3 linked regions of the Xenopus tropicalis genome follow. The protein of the gene in region 1 purifies or fractionates together with the protein of each later gene. This does not show direct contact. Links are inferred from orthologs where the notes say so. Each region holds a gene or a part of one and is shown in the gene's direction. Other genes may lie near its edges.

The links.
Region 2: the proteins of znf830 (region 1) and ppie purify together in Homo sapiens (affinity purification with mass spectrometry; 3 studies listed by BioGRID and IntAct, counting the BioPlex papers as one, with this or other methods). This does not show direct contact. The link is inferred for Xenopus tropicalis from reciprocal best matches to the Homo sapiens genes ZNF830 and PPIE.
Region 3: the proteins of znf830 (region 1) and ppil2 purify together in Homo sapiens (co-immunoprecipitation; 4 studies listed by BioGRID and IntAct, counting the BioPlex papers as one, with this or other methods). This does not show direct contact. The link is inferred for Xenopus tropicalis from reciprocal best matches to the Homo sapiens genes ZNF830 and PPIL2.

What each region holds. Positions count from the first base shown.
Region 1 is NC_030682.2:73,852,653-73,856,712, forward strand, and holds part of znf830 (zinc finger protein 830), read left to right. Parts: intron 1-277; coding exon 278-401; intron 402-1,686; coding exon 1,687-1,720; intron 1,721-4,060.
Region 2 is NC_030678.2:91,050,709-91,055,512, forward strand, and holds the start of ppie (peptidyl-prolyl cis-trans isomerase E), read left to right. Parts: upstream 1-1,710; 5' UTR 1,711-1,740; coding exon 1,741-1,825; intron 1,826-1,915; coding exon 1,916-2,014; intron 2,015-3,598; coding exon 3,599-3,642; intron 3,643-4,102; coding exon 4,103-4,129; intron 4,130-4,804. UniProt on the Homo sapiens protein: Involved in pre-mRNA splicing as component of the spliceosome. Combines RNA-binding and PPIase activities.
Region 3 is NC_030677.2:154,149,341-154,154,071, reverse strand, and holds the start of ppil2 (peptidyl-prolyl cis-trans isomerase-like 2), read left to right. Parts: upstream 1-1,672; 5' UTR 1,673-1,730; coding exon 1,731-1,762; intron 1,763-2,798; coding exon 2,799-2,848; intron 2,849-4,731. UniProt on the Homo sapiens protein: Has a ubiquitin-protein ligase activity acting as an E3 ubiquitin protein ligase or as an ubiquitin-ubiquitin ligase promoting elongation of ubiquitin chains on substrates.

The sequences.
Region 1 (4,060 bases):
CCCTTATATTATACTTAAGTGTGGGTTTTTTTTTCAATTCTATAACATGATACTGTGACTTTTTTAACAACATTTTTCACATATGTTGAACATCTACATCCTTTACCATTATGCTTTACAAAGCACCTTCATTCAGTGTTAATCAGGCCTTATTTACTCATTCAAGTTGCATGTAACACATACAATATCATTGTTTTTATATTACTGTATTTATGTGATCCTAGTTTTTAAGTTTGTAAATTGCTCTCTGTTTCCTAATGTTTTTGATATTTTAAAGAAAGTTGCTGAGTTAAAAGGATCCAAGGCTAACATAAGTAGTCCCTCAAATAAAGTACAGCTTCATCACATTATGAAAAGGAAGGGGTCTGAACCAGAGAACCAAGAGAGCAAACGAATTAAAGGTAGGCAAAATTAAATGCTTGATTTCATTTCTGGGTGTCATCTGCTTTCTCAGAAGCAGTTTTTTTTTGTTTTTTTTAAGTAAACACCTAAATAAACAGACAGTTGGTGAAACTCACAACTGCATTTTTTCCTTGAAATAAAGTTAAGCTTGTCATGTAAAATTATTTTTTAATGTAAAGATTAAAGAAAGGAGCTGCTTTTAATATTCAGCCTATTTGTAGTATTAAACTGGCACACCAGAATACATAGAAATCTCACTTGGCCACTTAGTCTACCTAGTCAGTTGATCTCCTTTACCTCAGTTTGTCTAAACAGAGCATAGTGTCCTCCTAAGGGTGGCCACCATTAGAAATCTAATGAGCATTCTAGAGTCCTGTATTATATGACTGCTTAGGCAAAACAAAAGTGTGCTCACCACAAATTAAATTAAATTAAATCAGTGGTGCAATGAGGGTGTAATTTTATAATTTACCAAAAATATTAGGGGCACCCCAGAGATTATAATCTCTTACCTGAGACCCCTGGCCGGTGCTTCTGTTTGCTGAAAGTTGCACCAGCTTGGGGTACTACTGTAGGAGCACCACACTCCCATCATCTTCTTGGATCTTCTCTACAGTCCAGTCTGGTTGTATAGAGCGAAGATATTCTTTACAGCTCCTCATTAGCAAGAGAACACAGGGAAGCGTCTTAACTAGGGTAGCCGTGGTGTCAAGTAAGCCATTAAAATCACTTGGGGTTTGCATAACATTTTGGCACCTTCTAGTTATACCTTTCCTTCTTTTTTTAATTTATGATTCAAAAATCATAACTTTTGAGGAGAACTTTCCATTTTGCTACTAGTTTCTAATAGTTTATAAAAGAAGAGGCAAGCTCCCATCATTTCTCGCTTCTGACAGGTGATCCCTCTGGTGTCCAATATAAAGGGCAAACTTCTGGGAGTTTTAACTTTGTAAAACAACTTGCCGATACAACTTAGTCCCTGTAAACACTTGCAAAAGAAATTACTGGAATGCAAAAATTAATTAGATGAAAGCATAGGTCTGGCTTGACAATGGTTGGCTGATGTAAAAATATTGCAAAAAAGGGTATAGTTGAGGGCAGAGGATCTATTTTTTAGGGGATTTTTTTTTTTTTGTTTTTTAACACAAGCATTTAATATTTGCTATATGGATTATTTATAGACCATTGCCTGTAAAGACTACATAAGGAGACTACAGCATGCTATGATCTCTATAAAGTTACACGAACATTAATGACAGCTTTGTAACAGTTATTTTTCTGCAGGCACAGAAGACCAGCCAACAGCTTTAAAAACCAAGTAAGTTTTATGTTAGCAGCATGCTTGTGTAATTGTGTAATTTTAACCTTAGAACTCAAATGAATACTTTTAAAAAAGCAAACTCTCCTAGCACTGTTTTTATTGACAGTGCTTTCCCATGGAAATAAATTATTTTTGTTAAAAACTATTTGTGCATCAGACATCTGTGTTTAGTTTACATGATTTGCCTTACCGAATTTTCAGCTTTCTCAGTGTGCAGGGTTACTTTTTAATGTTAAAAAAGGGGTGGCTATTTCAATTTCTTCTAGTATCTCCTGTACTTTTAATCATTCAGCATTCACTTTTTAAGTAAGTTGTCCACGCACTTCTAACTATGCTGTAGAATGGGTAGTAGTAGTGCACATCGCTTTATCAAGTGTACTTGGCATTTAAAGTACACAGAGACCAAAACAGCCCCCCACCAGATCAATAAATAGTGACTGTCTATGGCATCTTACAGCATGCTAACAAACTCCCAGAACAAACCCCTGCCAGGTTCACCTCCCACAGCATAGGACAGGCAGAGTACAGCACACGCAGGCAGAGTATAGCACACAGGCAGTATGCTGCCTGTGTGTGCCATACTCTGCCTGCCCTATGCTGACTGTGTGTATCATACTCTGCCTGCCCTACACATAGGCAGCATGGGGCAGGCAGTACATACAGCATATATGGGGTTATCACAGTTTTTGCTTGTAGTATAGATGTCTTACCCTTTGTAGAGATGGGCCCGGGTGCTCATGCCCCAGACCTTTAGCTTAGGGAGCCATAATAGAGGAAATCACGTAGCAAAAATTGATGGCAGGCACTCCGATGTCCCAGAGGTATATATTAAAAAACAGCCGACAGACTGTAAACCCCTGTATTGTTTAAACATGTAATCCCTGGTACTGTTCACACCTTTAGTCCCTGCATTGTTCACACCTCAGGCTCAGACTGTAAGCCCCCACATTGTACACCTGTTTATCCAGCAGAAATCACATAGCAAAAATTGATGGCAGGCACTCCGATGTCCCAGAGGTATATATAAAAAAACAGCCATATTATAAGTAAAAAATGTAAAAAGTTTATTTAATCCATATATAAAAGAACAAAAAGAAGCCTTATGCGTTTCGCACCAATAGGGTACTTAGTCATAGGCTGTATTACACTTACAAGATACACAGTATTTAAATATAAGGTGGCCAATAGGGATATCTCAAAAATTGGCCAATCACAATCATCAAGTAATTAGGTACAATTGAATGATAGATAGTGAGTGGTTAAAAAGATTTATATAGGGATACTAAGTATAACTCTTATGTGAGATTAAATATCCAACGTTTAGGCACAATTTTATAAAGCATTTTTCTATACATAACAGGTCACATCGTATTCATAGTTTAGACCATGCGGTTGTCTGGTTTTTATAAAAAATATCCATTTAGTTTCTTTTTTAATTAGAGCATGGGTAATGTCTCCTCCACGGGGATCGTGGAGGTTACTCTAGCAATTCCTTTTATGTTTAGATAGGACAATGATCTATTTGAACATTCTGAGAAATGTTTCGCTATTGTAGTGTTACATTTTTTGTTTGTGATATTAAGGATATGCTCTCTGATTCTGTCTTTCAGTTTTCTACTTGTTTGACCGACATATTGTTTTTTACACTTAGTGCATGTGAGTAGATAAATCACATATTTAGTATTGCAATTAATATAGTGTTTAATCTGATAAGTATTCATTGTAGTGGATGAAGTGAAGGATTGTGTTTTGACAACAAAATTACAGGTAATACACTGTCTGGACCCAGGATATGTCTATACCCATGGTTATGTATTAGTGGGGATAATTTGTTACTTAGGGTATCCGTTTTCCTGGTTACAAATCTATACCCATTATCAAGAATTTGCCTCAAAATTGGATCTGTTTTAAGAATTGTTAAGTTATTATTAACAATGCTTTTTATAGCGTTGTATTGAGGACTATATGTAAAAATACATTATAAGGCCTTAGTGTTGTCTTTGAAGGTTTTTCTTTTTTGAGAGTAATTTATTTATGGGTGCTCTTTTATTTTGTGCAGCCAAAGTTTCTGTGGTGTTCCGAGTTTTATATCTATTAAAAAGCTCTAATCTGTTGGTAGATGCAGCTTTTTCAAAAGCTTCTTGTATGATTCTTTTTGGGTAACCCCTATCTAATAGTCTATAATAAAGATCATTAGATTTTTCTAAAAAATCAGTTTCCTCTGCGCAGATACGCCTTATACGCAAAAATTGGCTATATGGGATGTTGTTTAGGGTGGCAAGATTGTGCGTTAAGTAATGTATTGGCAGAGCTGTCTTTTCTAAAGATAGTAGTGGT
Region 2 (4,804 bases), on another chromosome or scaffold:
ATTGGGAAGCCTGGGGCCTCCTCATAAATCCTATGTGATTTATGATGATGTGGACCTTAAAGCAGCGGAGATATGGATCCATTTCTATAATCCATATTTTCTGTATGCTGTCCCCCCCTGCTGTTCCTAGGCCCACACTTTGCCTCTCTTTGATAAACAGATCAAAGACCCCAGCTTCCTGCCCCAACGGGCTGATCCCGCATTGTCTGATGAAGTTGTTTATGTTGTCACCTTCCACAGTCCTGGTTGTGTCTTTAAGGGATATTTGTGAATTACCCCCTACTGGGAAGGGTTTCCCTCAAATGTGGATTTCAACCAGACTGAAATTGAAAATTTAAAATCTATGGAGCCTTACTGCTCCAACATGACAATGACCATTTGGCCCTTGGGTCAAATGATCGCATTGCAATGAAGGGGATAGGAAAAGTGAGAGTGATATGACTAAAAATCAAGCATGTCCAACTGAAATCTGGCCAATCTTAGGCCAGAAATTGGTCGGAGAGGCCTGTCAGAGGGCCCTATACACAGGCAGATAAGCTGCTGAGTCCGTCTTAAGGACCCAAATCAGCAGCTTAAATCTGCCCTTGTACGGGCACCTTTAAAGAAGTTTTCTATTCAGGCAGCAGCGATCTTAAGGCTGCTGTGCCGCCCCCCCTCTGCGTTTACCTCTTCAGCATTGGAGCAGGTCCTGGGGGGGCAGCATCACTATATCAAATGGAGGTCACTGACCCCCCCAATCGAATATCACTCTCTGCACTAGATGAGCTCAATCTCCATTTTTAGAAATGCAGCTCAAAGTTACCTGAGGTGGCTTTTTGCCACCCCTGGTACATGCCCACTCACTGCTGCCTACAGCAAGGTTCTCACATTGCCTCCTGGCAGGAGCAGCCCTGTATTCAGGTGCCCAGGCAGCATGGTGGCTCAGTGGGTAGCAGTGCTGCCTTCTGCTGAGTCCTGAGTATACTCCCACATAAAAAACATAAACATACCAGCATGTAATTACTTTAGGATTAAATTGTCTCTACAATATGTGATAGGGACCTTAAACTGTTCTGGGCCAGTGACTGATAAAGTGAATGATGATGAAGTGAATGATGCAGACTCTCTGTAAAGCGCTGCGGAGTTCTGTTCACCAGGGGTGACGCCTCCCAGATAAATTCATCATAGCATTATTCTCTAAGGCCAGAAGATGTAGCTCTCCGCCTTACAGATGCAGAATGCCAGGTCTCCAAACGTCTCCCATTTTCGGGACTTTAGAAATGGCCATCAAAGGACAATATATAATATTATTATTTTTTTATGTAACCAACGCCATCTGCTGCCTGCTGTAACCAACAAAATGTCTGCAACCGACGAATGGCGACAAGTATTTGAGTACATCAGGTAACAAAAGCAGAGTTTAGATTTCCCGTTACCTGTATACCACGGATTAGTAATGCCCACTAGAATTCAATCCGTTTAACCCGCATTGTCAATAGAGTTCCGTGGTTTAGTCTACATCGTATTTACGCTTTCCTAGAGGAGGAAGGCTGACGTTGTGACGTAAGGGTCATAGGGTAAAGGTTAGCGTCAGCAATATGGCGGCTACTAAGAGAGTTTTGTACGTGGGTTAGTACTTTTTTACATTTGCATTTTCTTCTTTTAGAGGTACGGGGTTAGTAGTGCAAAATAAATGGAGCGCAATCTTTAGCATTTTGCTGCTATTTGTAGCAATACCTAGAGAAGCCATGAGAGACAGCCATGTTCACGTGGATAGTGGGGCTGCAACCCCCATCTGTTAATCCGGGCACCGAGCTGCACGATATTTTCCTGACTACGGGGGCTTGTTAGTGCGAGAAGTGTCTTTAAAATGTTTTGTTTAACTTTTCCTGCTGTAATTTCTGTTCTAAAACTTGTTCATTCATGTGATTAACAGGCGGGCTTGCAGAGGAGGTGGATGAAAAAATCCTGCATGCAGCTTTTATTCCTTTTGGCGATATTACTGATATTCAGATACCTCTAGACTATGAAACAGGTAAGTATGGAACTTAATGCACCACTATGCTCATTTTAAGATCATGGGGATTTATATACACATATCTAATTTACACCAGTTTCTTTTTCTGCCTGTCTCGCAACTGGGTTTGTGTGTGAGTGACATTTCTCATTCGAGGGTGAACTTTTGTAATTAAAATTACAACTTTTCTGTGTGAAAATATCTAGTGGCACATACTACTAGCGAAGTATAGCTTTCATGAAAAAGCTGTGTTAAATGATGTATTTTTATAGAGACTGGCTATTTTTAGAGGTATTGCAGCTATGACAAGTTTAGCTATGATGCTATATTAAATATGCATAAATCCACTAAGGTAGTATATTACAAACTGGCCTTATGGGCGTGACATGTATAGTGCACCTGTTGAAATATTTTGGTCACAGGCACTGTTTAAGGAAGATATGTAACATGACTGTAAATCCCTCAGTCTTGTAGGCAAAAATTATTTATATTGTTTCACTCTAAGCTAAAGTTTATAATTATCTTTAAAACAACCCCTTTATTGGATCTCCCCATAGCTCCACTAAAGTCCCTGTCCATGTTTCAAATGAGGGGTTGGTGTGTCCTAATGGTCCCTGCCACAAGCACAGTAGGAGCGGGACAGCAAATCACAGCCCTGCAGTCACACAGGCAAAGATAGGCTTCAGTTCCCTATCAGCTCAGCCTAGCTGCTGATTGGTTCCTAAGCTACAATGCAGTGTGCAGGGTAGCTGGCAGCAGTCAGCACGACCTGGCAAAGGAGGCAGCAGCAAGGAACAAATGGGCAGAACCAGCACAGTTTTTGGAGAAATTTTCAATAAAAGTTCATTAAAAAACTTTTAAAGCACATTTCTTCTATATCTAGAGGAGTATAATGCACTGGCACATTCTTGTTTCTTACACAACATATCCCCTTTAAGCTACCCATTACAAGCACATTTCAAAATACATATTGTAACTGAATGCAAGAGTAATTCTAGCTTCACAATTCTTACATTCTTAAAACAATTTACCAGTTCAGCGATAAGCCTTCTGTATAATGAGCTGCCCCTTATCTCAAAGCCTAACAAAGACTGCAGCTGGGGAAAGGAGGTAGGTGTTTGTATAGAGGGCATCTCATTGTACTGGTAATTTGAGTTTATCAACTCGTAAGAACCAGGAAGTTGATATCAGTCTTAATTTCACTTTCAGGCTTTGCCATGTATGGTTAAGAAATAACACGAACCACAAATATTTGTAGAGCTATGAGATCTGTTATCCAGAAACCTGTTATCCTGAAACGGGAAGGCCATCTCCTATAGACTCCCATTTTAATGAAATAATTAAAAATTATTGGGTTTATTAAATGTTTAAATGATTTTAGTGTACTTAAAGTATGGTTATCCAAGTTATTGAAAGATCCATTATCCCATACCCATGAATTATGGGTGGATGCTGTGGGTTATTTTATCTGTCCATATTTTCTCTGATATTAAATGTTCATCATTCTAGTATGATTTCTGTGTTCCTGCTTCTCCTGAGAAAGAATTATGTTTACAACATTTTGTATGGGTATTAATGGTTGGTGGTCTTATTTTCTTATAGAAAAACACAGAGGATTTGCATTTGTGGAGTTTGAGCTTCCAGAGGTCAGTTATCAAAATAACTTATACAAGGTGGATTCTTTATCCTCTATTTCTTCCCTTAGGGTGCATGAGGGAGATGGGGTTCTGGCAATTCATTCTGGGGATCAATTCAGAATTTTTGCCTGATTTGCAGCTATTATTGCACATGCCAGTAATTAGTGCCTCACACACGGACAATCAGGTTTTACAAGGAAATAAAATATATAAGTATTGGGTTTATGTAAAAACGTTCATAAATGTTATCTGAATTGTCACGAATGTATATTATATATACATAGAAACAATTTTTATCAGTTGGCCTCGCTTAGGATAGCTGTAGCTATGTTCAGCCCAAAGTGTCAGGTATGCCAAACTAATTTCTCCCAGATGAACATTGAATTCCAACAATGTCAGCGCCCAATATATATTATTTATTTCAATTGAATGTATCTTTGTTTAATGTTGCATTTTTTCCATTTTCCAGGATGCAGCTGCTGCAATTGATAACATGGTAAGAGTTGGTTATGTAGTTTATTCACTTAATTTGTGCTTAGGCCTTTTATACTGTCTTACTTGTAGAAATGCTAGCAAGTCCCAAAGCATCAATTCTGTAATTTAATACTTAATATACATATCAATTTATGTTAACCATCACTTGCTTTAGAAGTTTGTCTAATGCATTTTATATAAATAAGCTGGAGAAGCAAAGGTAAGTACTAAGTAAGATTTACCAAAGTTCTATGTAAATACAGCCATAAGCACTACCAAAAAATCTACACTGGGTCTTCTATCAAAAGAAACACAGGATTTCTTGTCTCCTTTTTTGTGAACATGTTCTTGGGTATCTGACTTCCTCTCTCAGAAAAATCCTTCATTCCTGGGCCAGAGTCTGCTCTCTCCTCTCTTCTTTGTTCATAAGAATGCATTAAACTACCCCCACCCTTTAGGAATGTGTAATCTGAGCTACAACAGCTAGCGCTGCAAGTAGGAAGCTACTTAAAATGGCAGCTGCTATCTTAAACAAACAGAGAAAGCTTCTAGGGATCTTTACTCAGGTATGGTAAGAATAAATATGGTGTTCTAGGTGGCACTAATGTGGCAAATGTATTGGCAGTTAAATGCCAAAATGAATTTCCTTTATCTATAAAGCTAAATTTGCACAGCAAAAAAATGTAAATATGTACAT
Region 3 (4,731 bases), on another chromosome or scaffold:
GCATAGGGCAGGCAGAGTATGGCACACACAGGCAGCCTACAGTGACACGATGCTGGCACTGCTCCTACAGTCTGCACAATAACTATATATTAGAAAACTTTTTAATTGCAGTACCACCTCAGTATATGTTCTTTTTATAGTGTGTAGGGTTTATTTGTGGGTTTCTACTGCTCCTACAGTCTGTTTGAGGTGTGAACATGTGAACAATATGGGTGATTAGAGCCTGAGTCTGAGGTGTGAACACTGCAGGGGGTGAACAATGTAGGGATAAAAAGGTGTGAACAACACAGGGGATTATATTTTTAAACAATACAGGGGGTTTACAGCCTGAATCTGAGGTGTTAACCATGCAGGGGGCCAGTACTGATACCATTTAAAGCTTACACAAAGGTAAGCCATCAAAGCAGCCAGACAGGTGAGGGGCCACACAGAGGGGGGTTGCGGGCCGCCAGTTGGACAGCACTGGTCTATGGCATCTTAAAGTAGCCCCTTTGCCAAACCCACAGATTGCCAGTAAGGGCCTGGTGTAATTAACCCAATTAAGATTTGGAACAAGAGCCACAGGGCCAGGGGACCTTTCTGGCACTAAAAACAGGGGTCAGGGGTGCTGACACCTATTCCAGCTCTTATAATAGGGTACCAGGAACTTATTCCAGCAGCCTGAACCTAAGTGAAGCATGTATTTAGGCAACCAGGATAACACATCTGTTCTGGCCCTAAGAAAAGGAACCAAACAATGCCAGGCACCTATTTAGGCAGGGCTGAAGCCAAAGGTAGGTGAGTTAGCCAAAAATGTTATTTATAAAGGCTAGAGTGAACAGATGTTAAACATAAGAGCCAGAACACTACTTTTCAATCTGATCTGCGTGCTCACAAACTAACTGAGGTTAGACAGCTGAAAGCAGGAAGTAGTATTCTGGCTATTGATAGACATCTGTCCACTCCAACCTTTATAATTACTGTACATTTTTGCCTAACTCTATTACAAATATTTTTTTTATTTTGAGCAGTCTATTTGACCCAGTTTCATTTTTACACTGAACTGTGCCTTTAATCCCATATTATGGAAACCATTTAGAGAGGATAAAACAAATAATGTCATGTGTCAGAACAGGTACCAAAAGAGTGGCAGGAACTAGTTCTGACAGTCAGTACTGGGCTTGAGAATGCCAAAAAGCATTTGCCACCTATTTTAGCGCATTTCTTGAGTCAGAATAGGTAAAGAAAACACTAATATTCATATTGCTCCTTATCAGCTTTGAGGTTGGTGCCCCAAACGCCCTATTTTTAACATTTATCTTCTCCGCCACATCGCTTACTATTCTACATCACCTATTGCTCTCTTCAACACTTTCTCACTCCGCGCCAGATCTTCTCCGTCCCCTCCCTTTTCCATGTTGCCCCTGACAGCTTTAAAATGCTCCTTTTCTCTTTGAAATCCTTTACAGAAACGACATATTAATGTAATTAATTATAATGAATTTGCGAAACGTGGAGCAAACAAAAGCATATCTACAACTAGTTCTACTTTAATGCCAATCACTTTAACCATAGCATCCTCGTCTCCAGTATTAGGAACACAGATATTTCGAATTAGACGCTTCCGCGTTTTTTTACTTCCGGTACCCGAGCCCTACCAATAGACGGACCGGAAGTTATAATTGGACGCTAAGTCTGGAAAAAGTGTTCAGTATTGAAACAGAACGGGGCTTCAGTAACAGATAAACAAAATGGGGAAGCGTCAGCATCAAAAAGATAAAATGTAAGTTGCGAGCCTTAAATGCGACTTATACGTAAAATGGCGGCGTATTGTTGTTGTACTGTTTGTGCATGCTCTGTGTAACCTGTGTCTGTGGATCTACACTCGCCCAATAATGCACACATAGCATATTCCAGAGTTACAACCTCTCATCTTCTTGTTTAAGGGAATGCTGTGTGTGAGGGGGAGGGCATGTATCTGTTAGAAGAAGGCTTTCACTTATTGCATACAGTGGGGACCTTTATTTAGGATAGACTGGGAAGCATTTATATCAAGGTCCTGTGTAAGCAGAAATGGAGGTTGTAGGTGGCACATAAATGCCACTTTGCTGCCCCCACAAAGACTATACACCATTAAGTATCACTATATTGTTCACAAATGCTTTCACGGTTTCTGAAGTTTAAAATGACCAAGGCTGTTTACAGGACATGTGTTATGCTACCCTAAAATAAATAAAACAATTTTTAAAGATGACTAACCAATTGTTAAGAAAAATCCCATGGCACGAAAAACCCGAGTACCATGCCATACTGAGCGTGGCGGGTCCCATTTGTTACATACCCCCCAGTAATAATAATCACTGACATCAGCCCTCAGACTGGTTCTTCTCTTTGTCAAAAAATACATTGGCATAGGTTACTGTTCTAGTGAGCATCCTCCTTTTTTGTTTTTTTGATACATTCAAGCTGTACATGTTAGTTTTTGGGCATGCTAATTTTATCCAGCCTATGATTACATGCTGCATAAGCATAAACACGTCTGGCTTTGTACATGGGGTTTGTTTTAATGGATTGTAATAAAGTTGATAATTTTTAACTTTTTTTGATAGTTACAGACTTAATTGTTAAATTGTAATTTTTCCCTCTTTTGGTCACTAGAGGGTTGATTCTGCACGTTTGACTATTTTTTCTTTCTAGTTTTTTTTTACTATGTATCCTATTTTGGCCATTTGAAATGTTTACATGCTAATTTTATACCATCTTTTTCCCTTAATCCTGTGTGGTTACTAAATCTGTTTATTTGTTAATTATTTTACCAGGTACATCACTTGTACAGAATACACAAACTTCTATGGAGGAAAGAGACCAGGTAAGACCAACTACATACATAGGTTGTATGTATATTTAAATTTTGATTTTTCACAAGTTTTTCCATTGAGTGTGGTACTATGCTTTTCTATTTAACATATTTACCAGCACTCTGGCTACTTGCCTGGGTAGTTTAGGGAGTGCTCCTCTATGGTTCTAAAGGGTTTCAATAGTATAAAAAAGACCAGCAACTCCGGGATTTCTTTTGAAAAATCAAAACAAATCATAACATATATATCATAGTAATGTAATCTCCTAATGAATAAAAATTGCCTGGTGTAGTTATCAAAATGTAAACAACAAATGGACACAGCACTCACTGGACTTGGAAGAAAACAAATTCATTTATTTATTATGTTTGCCCTGTGCTACAGTGCTCAGCCAATTAAATGGTAATTTATGGGGGTGCAGCTACAATAATAATATTTTTAAGCAAGGGGACACAGTTCTCCAGAGAACTATGGCTTATAACCACAATAGTATGTGGCGCATCCCCAGGGATGCAGTTCTCCTTACTGAGACTTAGCTGAGCAGGACCATGTGGGGGTGCCAACTTCAAGATTAATGTGAAAGGATTGTAGTAGTTTTTACTTCCCGTCTTCATGGCCCACTTTGTAGTTTGCACACAGAAACATTTATAAAGTGGGAACAAATATATACAGCGACCCGGTGGGGACAGTCTTATATACTGGGATGAAACTACAAAGACGGATGGCTTGAGCAGCCGCACTCAAAAGCTCCTGTATGCTGGGGGTGGGGAAAAAAAAGTGGCGGGATGTCATCCCACTCCATTCCACCTCGAGGTCTACCAGAAACTTTAAAGTGATCTACTGGTAGACCGTGATCTACCTTTTGGGCACCTCTGCCTTAGACCCTGAGATGTGTAACCAGTATCTAATATAGTTATGTGCACTTGTTGCCCCCCTCTAAGTATAAATCATGGGCTCCTAATTATCACTTTGAACCCGCAGTCACCCCTATAATTGCTAATCCAGAGCATTCTGGATAGCAGGTCCCATACCTGTATAGGCAAAGGGAGCACACATCAGTGATGTATTAGATCTGACTCCAGCTCCTGCATAAAAAGAGACAGATTGCTAAGAGGGGGTTACTGAAGAAAAACCTAATTATTTCCACAATGGTACCAAATTTTTAATCGATTATATTCTGAAAGTTTTAGCGATACATCGCCTTGATGTAGCAGCCATCTCTCCTGACTATAATGTTGTTGTTTACTTAAAACTGCTTCTAAAGGTGGCCATACACCTTGGGCAATGGGGCAATATCGGGGTAATTTAGGCTTATTCGGTCGTTTGGCCCTGGGGGCAAATGATCGAATTATAACGGCTGGAATAGGCGCAGTCAGTTCGTGGACCGCATCAACGTGCCGATGCGGTCCCCGGTCCGACTGAATTTTTTAATCTGCCCGATCGATATCTGGCCGATTAAGATTGTCTTGCATGACATTATTGGTACATTGAACACTTGATACAGATTTTCTGCCTAATTTCAGTTAACAGGTGTTTTTATTTCTGCAAGAGTTTTTTTTTTTTCTATATATGAAACTGGAGTCCAGCATATTTCTTTCTTGCATTTTATTAACAGATTATAGGATCTATTTTCCAGAATTCTTGGGATCCCACCGGCAAGAATGTGAATCCCCTCCAGAGATTTACATTGTTGCCAGTGGGAAGGCATTTCAGGGGAGTTAGTCGCCCGCAGTAGCAAAGATTTATCGCTGGTGACTAATCTCCTTCTGTGCCACCATTGTAAGCCTGCTAAAAAAAAATTACACATTAAGTAAATCAAACAGGATTGCTTTGCCAACAAAATGGATTAATTCAGTTTAGTTAAGCTTTAAAGGAGTTGTTTATCTTTCTTTTT